Linked DNA regions of Xenopus tropicalis. The protein of the gene in region 2 interacts with the protein of the main gene of each other region in a pairwise test. Links are inferred from orthologs where the notes say so. Each region holds a gene or a part of one and is shown on either strand. Other genes may lie near its edges.

What was found.
Region 1: the proteins of stk16 (region 2) and kctd14 interact in binary tests that used the Homo sapiens proteins (3 or more experiments, as listed by UniProt). The link is inferred for Xenopus tropicalis from reciprocal best matches to the Homo sapiens genes STK16 and KCTD14.

Annotation. Positions count from the first base shown.
Region 1 is NC_030678.2:168,932,533-168,937,526, forward strand, and holds the start of kctd14 (BTB/POZ domain-containing protein KCTD14), read right to left. Parts: upstream 3,585-4,994; 5' UTR 3,419-3,584; coding exon 3,377-3,418; intron 1-3,376.
Region 2 is NC_030685.2:83,927,728-83,933,299, forward strand, and holds the start of stk16 (serine/threonine-protein kinase 16), read right to left. Parts: upstream 3,445-5,572; 5' UTR 3,373-3,444; intron 1,131-3,372; 5' UTR 1,107-1,130; coding exon 1,021-1,106; intron 1-1,020. UniProt on the Homo sapiens protein: Membrane-associated protein kinase that phosphorylates on serine and threonine residues. In vitro substrates include DRG1, ENO1 and EIF4EBP1. Also autophosphorylates. May be involved in secretory vesicle trafficking or intracellular signaling.

The sequences.
Region 1 (4,994 bases), on a different chromosome or scaffold from region 2:
GGGCTGTGGGATAGCAGGTATAGTAGGGAGAGATGATGCCTATAGTAGCAGTGGGAAAAAAAAAAAACATTTTGCAGATAGGATCTAGTAGAAACTAGTCTATGAGTTTTAGAGATGGAACTAAGACTCCCTGCCAGGTATCTAGGAAATATACGCACCACACTAATACCCAGAATAATGAGTGCTGGAGTGGCATTAGTTCACATAAAAGTATGTAGTAGGGAGTATTTCGTTCCGAGCAGAAAGTTCATGCTTAATTAGAGTCCTAGCCAGGGCCACAGACTGTAGATGTAGGAAGCAGCCAGATGGAGTGGATATAGGGAACCTTACATGTACGTTACAGCTTATCCTAAAACTGGTTGCATATTAAACTGCATCCTGCATGGCTAAGACTGCAGTCTATCATTTCTAATTAGCCATGAAGCATGCGTGTTAGTTGTGTGGGGTGAGCTGGTATCCCTACGCACTATGCAGTTCCTCAGGCTGTTAGTAACTAACACAAAGGTTGGGGGGATCCCATTTCCCTTCCAAGTAATTGCCCTCGCGTGTGTACAGCTGTATCCTGGATCATCCCTTCCCTGCACAGAGCAGATCCCTTGGAAGCCGTATTTGCTGATAATATATTTGCTCTGAGAGAACAAGTAGAGAGCCCAGTGCTGCCGGCACGCATGAGCTCCATCTGCCTGGCACCGTTACAAAGGCCCGAAACCAACCATATCCCTGCAGGCCAGACGGACCCGGCTGTAAGCAATTGTCACATCCTGCAGGGACTGGTTTTCCTAGGCCTCCCGAGAACATGTGGACGCTCAGCAAATAACCTTTCTTGGTTTTGAAATTATGCAGAATTCTGATGTCGGAAAAAATTCTCTCCAGTGGGAATATTTACCCTTTGCACAGTCAACTGAGTATGAATAGCTAAGCGCCTCATTTAAACCACCATTACTCTGCAGCGCAAAGAGATGCAACAACTGCCAGTTCCGTACTAATTGCACCCCACCCTAAACTTTCACATGGAAAGCTCCAGTGCCTTAATGTTATCTTTATGGCCCCAGCACAGAAGCAAAGAATGTTCCAGAAGATAAGAGAGACACCTGGCCTACCTGCTGAAAGGCGTGCCTAAGGGCGAAGAGACACGCAGCATTTAGTCTCCGCAACTTTTTAAAAAGTCGCAGCAACTAATCTGCGTAGCGAAACTGCACGGGGGATTAGTCGCAGGGACTTATACTTTTTACAATTCAAGGTGATTGTGTGTCTTCACCCTTAAGGTGGCCATACACTGTAACATCTTTGCCCTTTGGCCAAACAATTGCATTACAATGAAGGGGATACAAGCCATTGGAGCAAGGACCAGATCAATGAGCCAATGCAGTTCTTGATCCGATGGGAAAATCAAGCCTGTCCGAATGAGATTTGGCCCAATTTTTGTAAAGGGAGAATATCAGAGGGCCTAATACACAAGCAGATAAGCTACTGAATCCGTCTGAAGGACCCGAATCGGCAGCTTATAGGAGTGGTTCCCATTCAGGTTATCTTTTACTATGTTATAGAATGGCCTATTCTTAGCAACTTTTCAATTGGCCTTCATTTTCTTTCTTTCATTTTGTATTATTTTTGAATTATTTGTTTTCTTCTTCTGACTATTTCCAGCTTTTAAATGGGGGTCACTGACCCCGGCAGCCATAAACCATTGCCCTGTGAGGCTACAATTTTTATTTTTATTGTTAATTTGTATTACTTATCTTTCTCTTTAGGCCCTCCTCTATTCATTTTCCTGTCTTATTTTCAAAAAGCTAAATAATACACAAACCGCAAATACAAAATGTAGACCAATTGCATAGCATTTGCATTCTCTTTATCCTACTAAAAGTTAATTTAAAGGTCAACAATGCCTTTAAAGTTGCCCAGGAATGGCCAGCTTGAAAGGGTGATGGCACACTGGGTGATATCTAGCAATTGGTCAACCCAGGGTTTCTCTTTCCGGGGAACAACATGCTAGTAAATCACTCACTTCTGCCATCCAACTGCTTCACCCAGTGCCACACTGGCCCCCTGGGATACCAGGAACAATCCCAGGGGGGCCCATGAGTTAATGGGCCCTGTGGCTCCCAGCCATTAATTTGGACCCAACCATTTGGCCTTTAATGACCATACCATAATATTTCTATATGAGACCAAAGAGTAGGAATGGAGAGAAGTATAGATCATGGTGTATTAAGAGACTAGTAGATCAGAGAAGGCAAAGAAGAAAAGAGGAAAGATAGGAGAGGTCTTTGGTCTAAGGTTTTTGTTGAGCCCGTAGCACCCCAGTTGGGCACTGGTTTCTTTTGTTGGAGTCTTTGGTTGAGGTTACCCTTCCACAGCAGTCATAGTTGCCATTCATAGAGATATAAATCCCTATAGGTGCAGTATTTGCCGTTAATGCAACCTAGGGCCTATGGTACGTGGAACATGAAGGTTTTCAGCCAGGGGAGAAGGGCCATTTAGGCCACGGTTGGGTTCTTCTCCATAGCTGAAAGATGCAGTCAGAGTATAGTTTCCCTATACCTCCCAGCTTTCAAATAGGGGGTCACCAACCTTGACAGCCAAAAAAAACCCCTAAATGTTAACGGCTACAACTTTATTGTTTTTTTCATTACTTCTTTTTTTATTTAGGTCCTCTCCTGTTCATCTTCCACTCTCTGATTCAAACCACTGGCTGGTTGCTAGGTTAAATTGGCCCCTAACAACTAGACAGCCACTTAAAATTCAGTGCTGGAAAGCTGCTAAAGAAATAGCTAAATCATTCATAACCATAAAAAACTGAAGACCAACTGCAGAGTATCCCTGTCTACATCATACTAAAAAGTTAATTTAAAGGTAAATTAGCCCTTTAAAATGATTTTAAACCTGTTTGCAGCCACAGAGGAAGGCAGTGTGGGTTGGAATGAAAGGAGTGTGGCAAGCCAGGCAATAAGGAAAATATATCTGTCTTCCCCATGACGTCACTTGCCTATAACGACGGACTGGAATTTAAAATTAGTATCTGGCACGGACAGAAAGTCTCATTGAGACTGGGTATAGATGCTGATTTATTAAAAAAAAAAATCACATAATAATATAAATGCAACTGGCTGCACAGAAATCTTTGCAGTCTGCGGCATGCTTCTAAATGAATTGCCAATTAACCCAGCACAGTATATCCAGTGAAGTGGTGACTGGTAGATCAGCTAATTAATGGGGCACAATCTTATGCCTCCCCCCCTGCCTGTGTGTGTTTTTAATAGGAATTGTATTGATCTGGTATAAGCCCTGGGCACACGTTAGACTGTCAATGCAACTCACCCCCTTCCAGCAACATATATGAGAGAAAACAGACACCGCCGAGATGGATACTTACACCCTGCGGACTGCTGCTCAGCTGTTTCCCAGAGACACTCATGTTGGCAGGTTCCCCCCTCTCTGCCGGGCACTGCCAGGAAACACACAGCCGCTCTTGGGAAGGGAACAAAATCCCTCCCTTCAGCTACAGCAGGATTTTCTACCCAGTCTCCCCTCCCTCCTGATCCTCCCAGTCTAACAGGTGTAGTAGGGGGAGTGTCTGACTCCCAGCGGAAGTGCTGTGAGATTTACACACTCACCCAGGTGTTCTGGGCCAGGGCACACTCACGCTTCTGTAAACAATCATTTTTTAAAGGGATACTGTCATGATAGTTACATAGTTACATAGTTACATAGTTACATAGGGTTGAAAAAAGACCATTGTCCATCAAGTTCAACCCATCCGAGTAAACCCAGCACACAACCTATACTAACCAATCTATACACTCACATACATAAACTATATATATACAACCAGTAATACTAACTGTAGATATTAGTATCACAATAGCCTTGGATATTCTGATTGTTCAGAGTACTTTTTATTTCTAAATGACACTGTTTACATAAGCAAATAATTCCCTCTGCCATTTAACATTGTATTCTTGAACCAACAAATGTATTTGTAGCTGTAATATTGGTGTGTAGGCGCCATCTCAGTGCATTGTGCCTGAGTCTGAGCTTTCAGCCAGCGCTACACATTAGAACTGCTTTCAGCTAACCTATTGTTTCTCCTACTCCCATGTAACTGGAGGAGTCCCAAGCCGGACTTGGATTTCTTACTATTGAGTGCTATTCTGATACCTACTGGGAGCTGCTATCTTGCTCCCTTCCCATTGTTCTGCTGATCGGCTGCTGGGAGGGGGGGCAGGATATCACTCCAACTTGCAGCGCAGCAGTAAAGTGTGCCTGAGTCTGAGCTTTCAGCCAGCGCTACACATTAGAACTGCTTTCAGCTAACCTATTGTTTCTCCTACTCCCATGTAACTGGAGGAGTCCCAAGCCGGACTTGGATTTCTTACTATTGAGTGCTATTCTGATACCTACTGGGAGCTGCTATCTTGCTCCCTTCCCATTGTTCTGCTGATTGGTTGTGGGGGGGAGGGGGGGGGATATCACTCCAACTTGCAGCGCAGCAGTAAAGTGTGCCTGAGTCTGAGCTTTCAGCCAGCGCTACACATTAGAACTGCTTTCAGCTAACCTTTTGTTTCTCCTACTCCCATGTAACTGGAGGAGTCCCAAGCCGGACTTGGGTTTCTTACTATTGAGTGCTATTCTGATACCTACTGGGAGCTGCTATCTTGCTCCCTTCCCATTGTTCTGCTGATTGGCTGCTGGGGGTGAGGGGGGGGATATCACTCCAACTTGCAGCGCAACAGTAAAGTGTGACTGAAGTTTATCAGAGCACAGGTCACATGGCTTACCAAGATTTTGGTTTCCTGTTCCTTCCACATAGCCTTGCCCACTGCCATGTTGAAGGAACAGGAAACAAATTCTCCCTTTTAAATGGCAAATTACAATGGAGAGATAATTACTCATCAACAGGGGATGCTGGGAGCTGTAGTCTGGCATCAGCCAGTGAAGCAGAGTTTGCATGCCTGTGTTGTAGAATCGATTACACGGATCAGTGGGTGTAG
Region 2 (5,572 bases):
ATATATTCTGTTAAAGGGGACAAAACCTCCCCAAACAAATTGTAACCCCCAATGTAACTGTTTGCTCATTAAAGTAAATTTAATTCTAGGCAACTTTCCCATATACATTCATTACAAACATTCATTTCTATTAAGGCTGTTTGTAAATGAAAGTGCTATTGAAAGCAGCTTCTCTCTGGTCTGCACTGCTGGTTCTGACTACATGTACCATTAAACAATGTATCACTAGGCGGCTCCCCTTCCGCCAATATTCTCTTTCCCACAATGCCTTGATTCTCCTTCTTTTCAGGTCTATTAAAGGTCTATCAACGTGAACATTTTGCAAAATTAAAGTAAATTTATTTCTGAACACCTTCCCAACATACAATTATGGCAATTCCAGAACACCAGGAGTTAATTTAAAGCCACACTGCTGGGTGTGTATCTGTAGCCTCTGCTGAATGGGCCATGTCAGTAATATGATATAAACTACTGTATATACTCGAGTATAAGCCTAGTTTTTCAGCACCCAAAATGCGCTGAAAAAGTCACCCTTGGCTTATACTCGAGTTGGGTCCCTCCAGACTAGCACCCTCTGTCCTTTGTGTGCAAATTAGGCCTCCTGCAACCAGACCCTGCAGTGCCTATTGTTTTTGTTGACCCTCTTCTCCACTTACAGAGCTTACATATATTTAAAAACATATACCCCACTGATGCCTCAATTAATGTAATTTTATTGGGATTTATTTTGATTATTGAAACTTAGCAGTAGCTGCTGCATTTCCCACCCTAGGCTTATACTCGAGTCAATATGTTTTCCCAGTTTTCTTAGGTAAAATTGGGTACCTCGGCTTATATTGGGATCGGCTTATACTCGAGTATATACGGTAGTTCCCTGCCTACACCACAATGAAATATCAAGCAATATAAAGGGAAGTATAATAAAAGGGAATTTAGTTGGGGCCCGGGGGCCCACAAACCATTACTCTGTGATTCCTAGTACAAAAGCGGAGATGACATTTTCCATAAACATTTACTTACCCTTCACCCAGTTTGTGCACAAAGAAGTAGCGCTTATTCTCTATGGTTATAGACCCCCGAGAGCAGATACACAGAGCGCCGCCCATTGTCCTTCCAACATGCTTTGGTCACTAGAAGAGAGACATTTGTATAAGCACATAAGAGGCATAGTGCATAGCGGCACAACATCCAGTGCAGTCTGCATCAGAATCTAATAATGTCATTACTGAGGCACAGGGGGTTCAGTATGTGTCAGTACCAGTTACACTGGGTCCAAAAAGGTCAATGGACTACAATTCCCGGCTTTAGTTATAGGTTGGAGAATTCTGGGAATTACAGTTCAGCAACACCTAAGAATAAAATTAAACATGGTTTGGGGGAACATAATCAATCTATTCAGTATAGGTCTATATCAGAGATCTTTGGTGGGTGGCTCAACCGCTGTCCCTCTCTGCTAAGGGGTTGCTGGGAATTGTAGTCCACAGAAAGCCCAGCCATATACTCCTAAGCTTAGAAGAGAAAGAAACACCCCGATGTTACCCCAGTATTACCTTACTGCCTCTATTGCCCCAGTATTACCTTACTGCCTCTATTGCCCCAGTATTACCTTACTGCCTCTATTGCCCCAGTATTACCTTACTGCCTCTATTGCCCCAGTATTACCTTACTGCCTCTATTGCCCCAGTATTACCTTACTGCCTCTATTGCCCCAGTATTACCTTACTGCCTCTATTGCCCCAGTATTACCTTACTGCCTCCATTGCCCCAGTATTACCTTACTGCCTCCATTGCCCCAGTATTACCTTACTGCCTCCATTGCCCCAGTATTACCTTACTGCCTCTATTGCCCCAGTATTACCTTACTGCCTCCATTGCCCCAGTATTACCTTACTGCCTCCATTGCCCCAGTATTACCTTACTGCCTCCATTGCCCCAGTATTACCTTTACTGCCTCCATTGCCCCAGTATTACCTTACTGCCCTCCATTGCCCCAGTATTACCTTACTGCCTCCATTGCCCCAGTATTACCTTACTGCCTCCATTGCCCCAGTATTACCTTACTGCCTCTATTGCCCCAGTATTACCTTACTGCCTCTATTGCCCCAGTATTACCTTACTGCCTCTATTGCCCCAGTATTACCTTACTGCCTCTATTGCCCCAGTATTACCTTACTGCCTCTATTGCCCCAGTATTACCTTACTGCCTCTATTGCCCCAGTATTACCTTACTGCCTCTATTGCCCCAGTATTACCTTACTGCCTCTATTGCCCCAGTATTACCTTACTGCCTCTATTGCCCCAGTATTACCTTACTGCCTCCATTGCCCCAGTATTACCTTACTGCCTCCATTGCCCCAGTATTACCTTACTGCCTCCATTGCCCCAGTATTACCTTACTGCCTCCATTGCCCCAGTATTACCTTACTGCCTCTATTGCCCCAGTATTACCTTACTGCCTCTATTGCCCCAGTATTACCTTACTGCCTCTATTGCCCAGTATTACCTTACTGCCTCTATTGCCCCAGTATTACCTTACTGCCTCTATTGCCCCAGTATTACCTTACTGCCTCCATTGCCCCAGTATTACCTTACTGCCTCCATTGCCCCAGTATTACCTTACTGCCTCCATTGCCCCAGTATTACCTTACTGCCTCTATTGCCCCAGTATTACCTTACTGCCTCTATTGCCCCAGTATTACCTTACTGCCTCTATTGCCCCAGTATTACCTTACTGCCTCTATTGCCCCAGTATTACCTTACTGCCTCTATTGCCCCAGTATTACCTTACTGCCTCCATTGCCCCAGTATTACCTTACTGCCTCCATTGCCCCAGTATTACCTTACTGCCTCCATTGCCCCAGTAGTACCTTACTGCCTCCATTGCCCCCAGTATTACCTTACTGCCTCCATTGCCCCAGTATTACCTTACTGCCTCTATTGCCCCAGTATTACCCTTACTGCCTCTATTGCCCCAGTATTACCTTACTGCCTCTATTGCCCCAGTATTACCTTACTGCCTCTATTGCCCCAGTATTACCTTACTGCCTCTATTGCCCCAGTATTACCTTACTGCCTCCATTGCCCCAGTATTACCTTACTGCCTCTATTGCCCCAGTATTACCTTACTGCCTCCATTGCCCCAGTATTACCTTACTGCCTCCATTGCCCCAGTATTACCTTACTGCCTCTATTGCCCAGTATTACCTTACTGCCTCTATTGCCCCAGTATTACCTTACTGCCTCTATTGCCCCAGTATTACCTTACTGCCTCTATTGCCCCAGTATTACCTTACTGCCTCTATTGCCCCAGTATTACCTTACTGCCTCTATTGCCCCAGTATTACCTTACTGCCTCTATTGCCCCAGTATTACCTTACTGCCTCTATTGCCCCCGTAGCGATGGCAGCTTTCAGCCTCCCACCGGAACTGTAACCAACCGGGCAGCTGGAAAGCAGGGCGGCACCGAGTGATGACGTTCAAGGAAGGCGACTCGGGCCTGAGCTGCGTTGCTAGGTTACGCAGGTACAGAATGGGAAAGGAGCCCAAACCTTTGTTCAAAACTCTGTTTTCAGTCTCTGACAGTCTGGAATCTGAAAGGTTAATCACTAGATCACTAGATCCCTAATCACTAGCGCAGTCTCTCCTATGGCTGGTAAATCTGGCGTCTCCAGTGCGTTGTAGAGGCTGCTCCTTCCTGAGTACGGTGTCCCAGCTGGCCAAACCTTCTAGAAATGCGAGTCTGCTGCCTTGGGGATTCCTTCTGCCGTGAATAAACGGTGCCAGTTGTATGATCTCGGGTATCACGGTCAAATTTCTTTCTGTTTCGGGCTATAAGTTCTTTTATCAAATTCTTTATGGAATTATTGGCTTCTTGCAAAGTTGTATCATACTCACTTGTGCTTATAGAACTGTTTTGAACACTCTCTTTAAGTTAAGTTATCTCTTTGCGAGTTTTATTGATTTCAGGCTGTAAATATTCCACAGTAAGGACCCTGGCATCCAAACTGGCTTTATTCCAGATGCCTTCCCATTTTGCTAAAAAGTCTTTATTATGCATACCTCCCAACTGTCCCGGACAGTCCGTCTTTTGACAACTCAACCCATAGTCCCAGATTCTTACTGAAAAGTCAATCATTGCACTGAATGCTAGAAAAGATACAATGTTTCTCAAACTTAATTAAAAACTAGCTTTTGGCAGAGAGCCTAGAAATCTTAGGGCTCAGGCACACGGGCAAAACTCCCTGTTCGCGGGCGACTAATCTCCCCGAGTTGCCTACCCCTGCCATCCCACCGGCGAACATGTAAGTCGTCGGCGGGATGGCCAGACGCGGCGGGGCGATTTCAGGAAATCGCCGAAAAAGACTTGCGAGTCTTTTTTGGCGATTTGCGCAAAATCGCGCCGCCGCGTCTGCCATCCCGCTGGCGATTTACATGTTCGCCGGTGGGATGGCAGGGGTAGGCAACTCGGGGAGATTAGTCGCCCGCAAAAAGGGAGTTTTGCCGCGGGCGACTAATCTCCCCGTGTGCCAGAGCCCTTAAAGAGCGTTACCTGAACTTAGATACATTGTTTCTCACATTTAATTAAATAAGTGGGCTTTTGGCAGAGAGTCCAGAAAGGTTAAAAGCCCCCCCCTGCACTGAGATACAATTGTAACTAATAAGCTAAACAGGTCTCTTGGGGGAACTGAGACTCGCAGCTTAAAGGAGAAGGAAAGGCAAAGTCACTTGGGGGTGCCAAAATGTTAGGCACCCCCAAGTGACTTTAAAGGGCAATTTCACCTTCTTCAGCAAAACTGTAATAACACATAAAACAGGAAACCAAAACCCCCAGAAATGTGTTCAAACTTTAAATAACCTGCCAAATTTAGTCAAATGGGAGTGGTATTTAGGGGGTGTGGTCACAAAAATGGGCGTGGCCAAAAATTGCCGCACTGTGCGCACTATTTATTTTTGACAGTCTTTCTGTTTTCAAAATTGGGAGGTATGCACTATAAGATTCGCTCATTTGTCGAAGATGCCAAAAGAGCAGATCTTTCCCCCCAATATGCCTTGGGTTGTGGTAATGCTAGGGTCGCCATCTTTGCCAGTGGCTAAACCCAAACAAAGGGTGCATGGGGCTGATGGCATCAGGGGTGGGGCTGAGGGTGGGCATGATGATGTTGGGTGAGTTTATGATGCTGGGGCGGGGTGTATTTCATTACTTAATGCAGTTGCCTGGATTTCTGTCCAGTTTTCTCAATGTTTTAAACCGGACAGAATGGGACAGTATGGGACCTATCAACCAGAAATCAGTTATTCAAAAGCTCTGAAATACGGCAATGCTAATTAAGATTTTTGATTGATTGGCTTTTTCTTTCTGAAATTATAAGAAATAAACAGTACTTGATTACTAAGCCATGTTGATAGAAAAAAATCACAGTGAGTATTTTAATATATAAATGTGTTTCATTTATTGGCCAGATTATTGTTCAGGTTTCAGCCAGTTGAGACCCAAAAAGGCCTAAAGGTCCCCATACACGGGCCGATTGTAGCTGCCAATATGGGTCCCTTAGACTGATTCGGCAGCTAATCG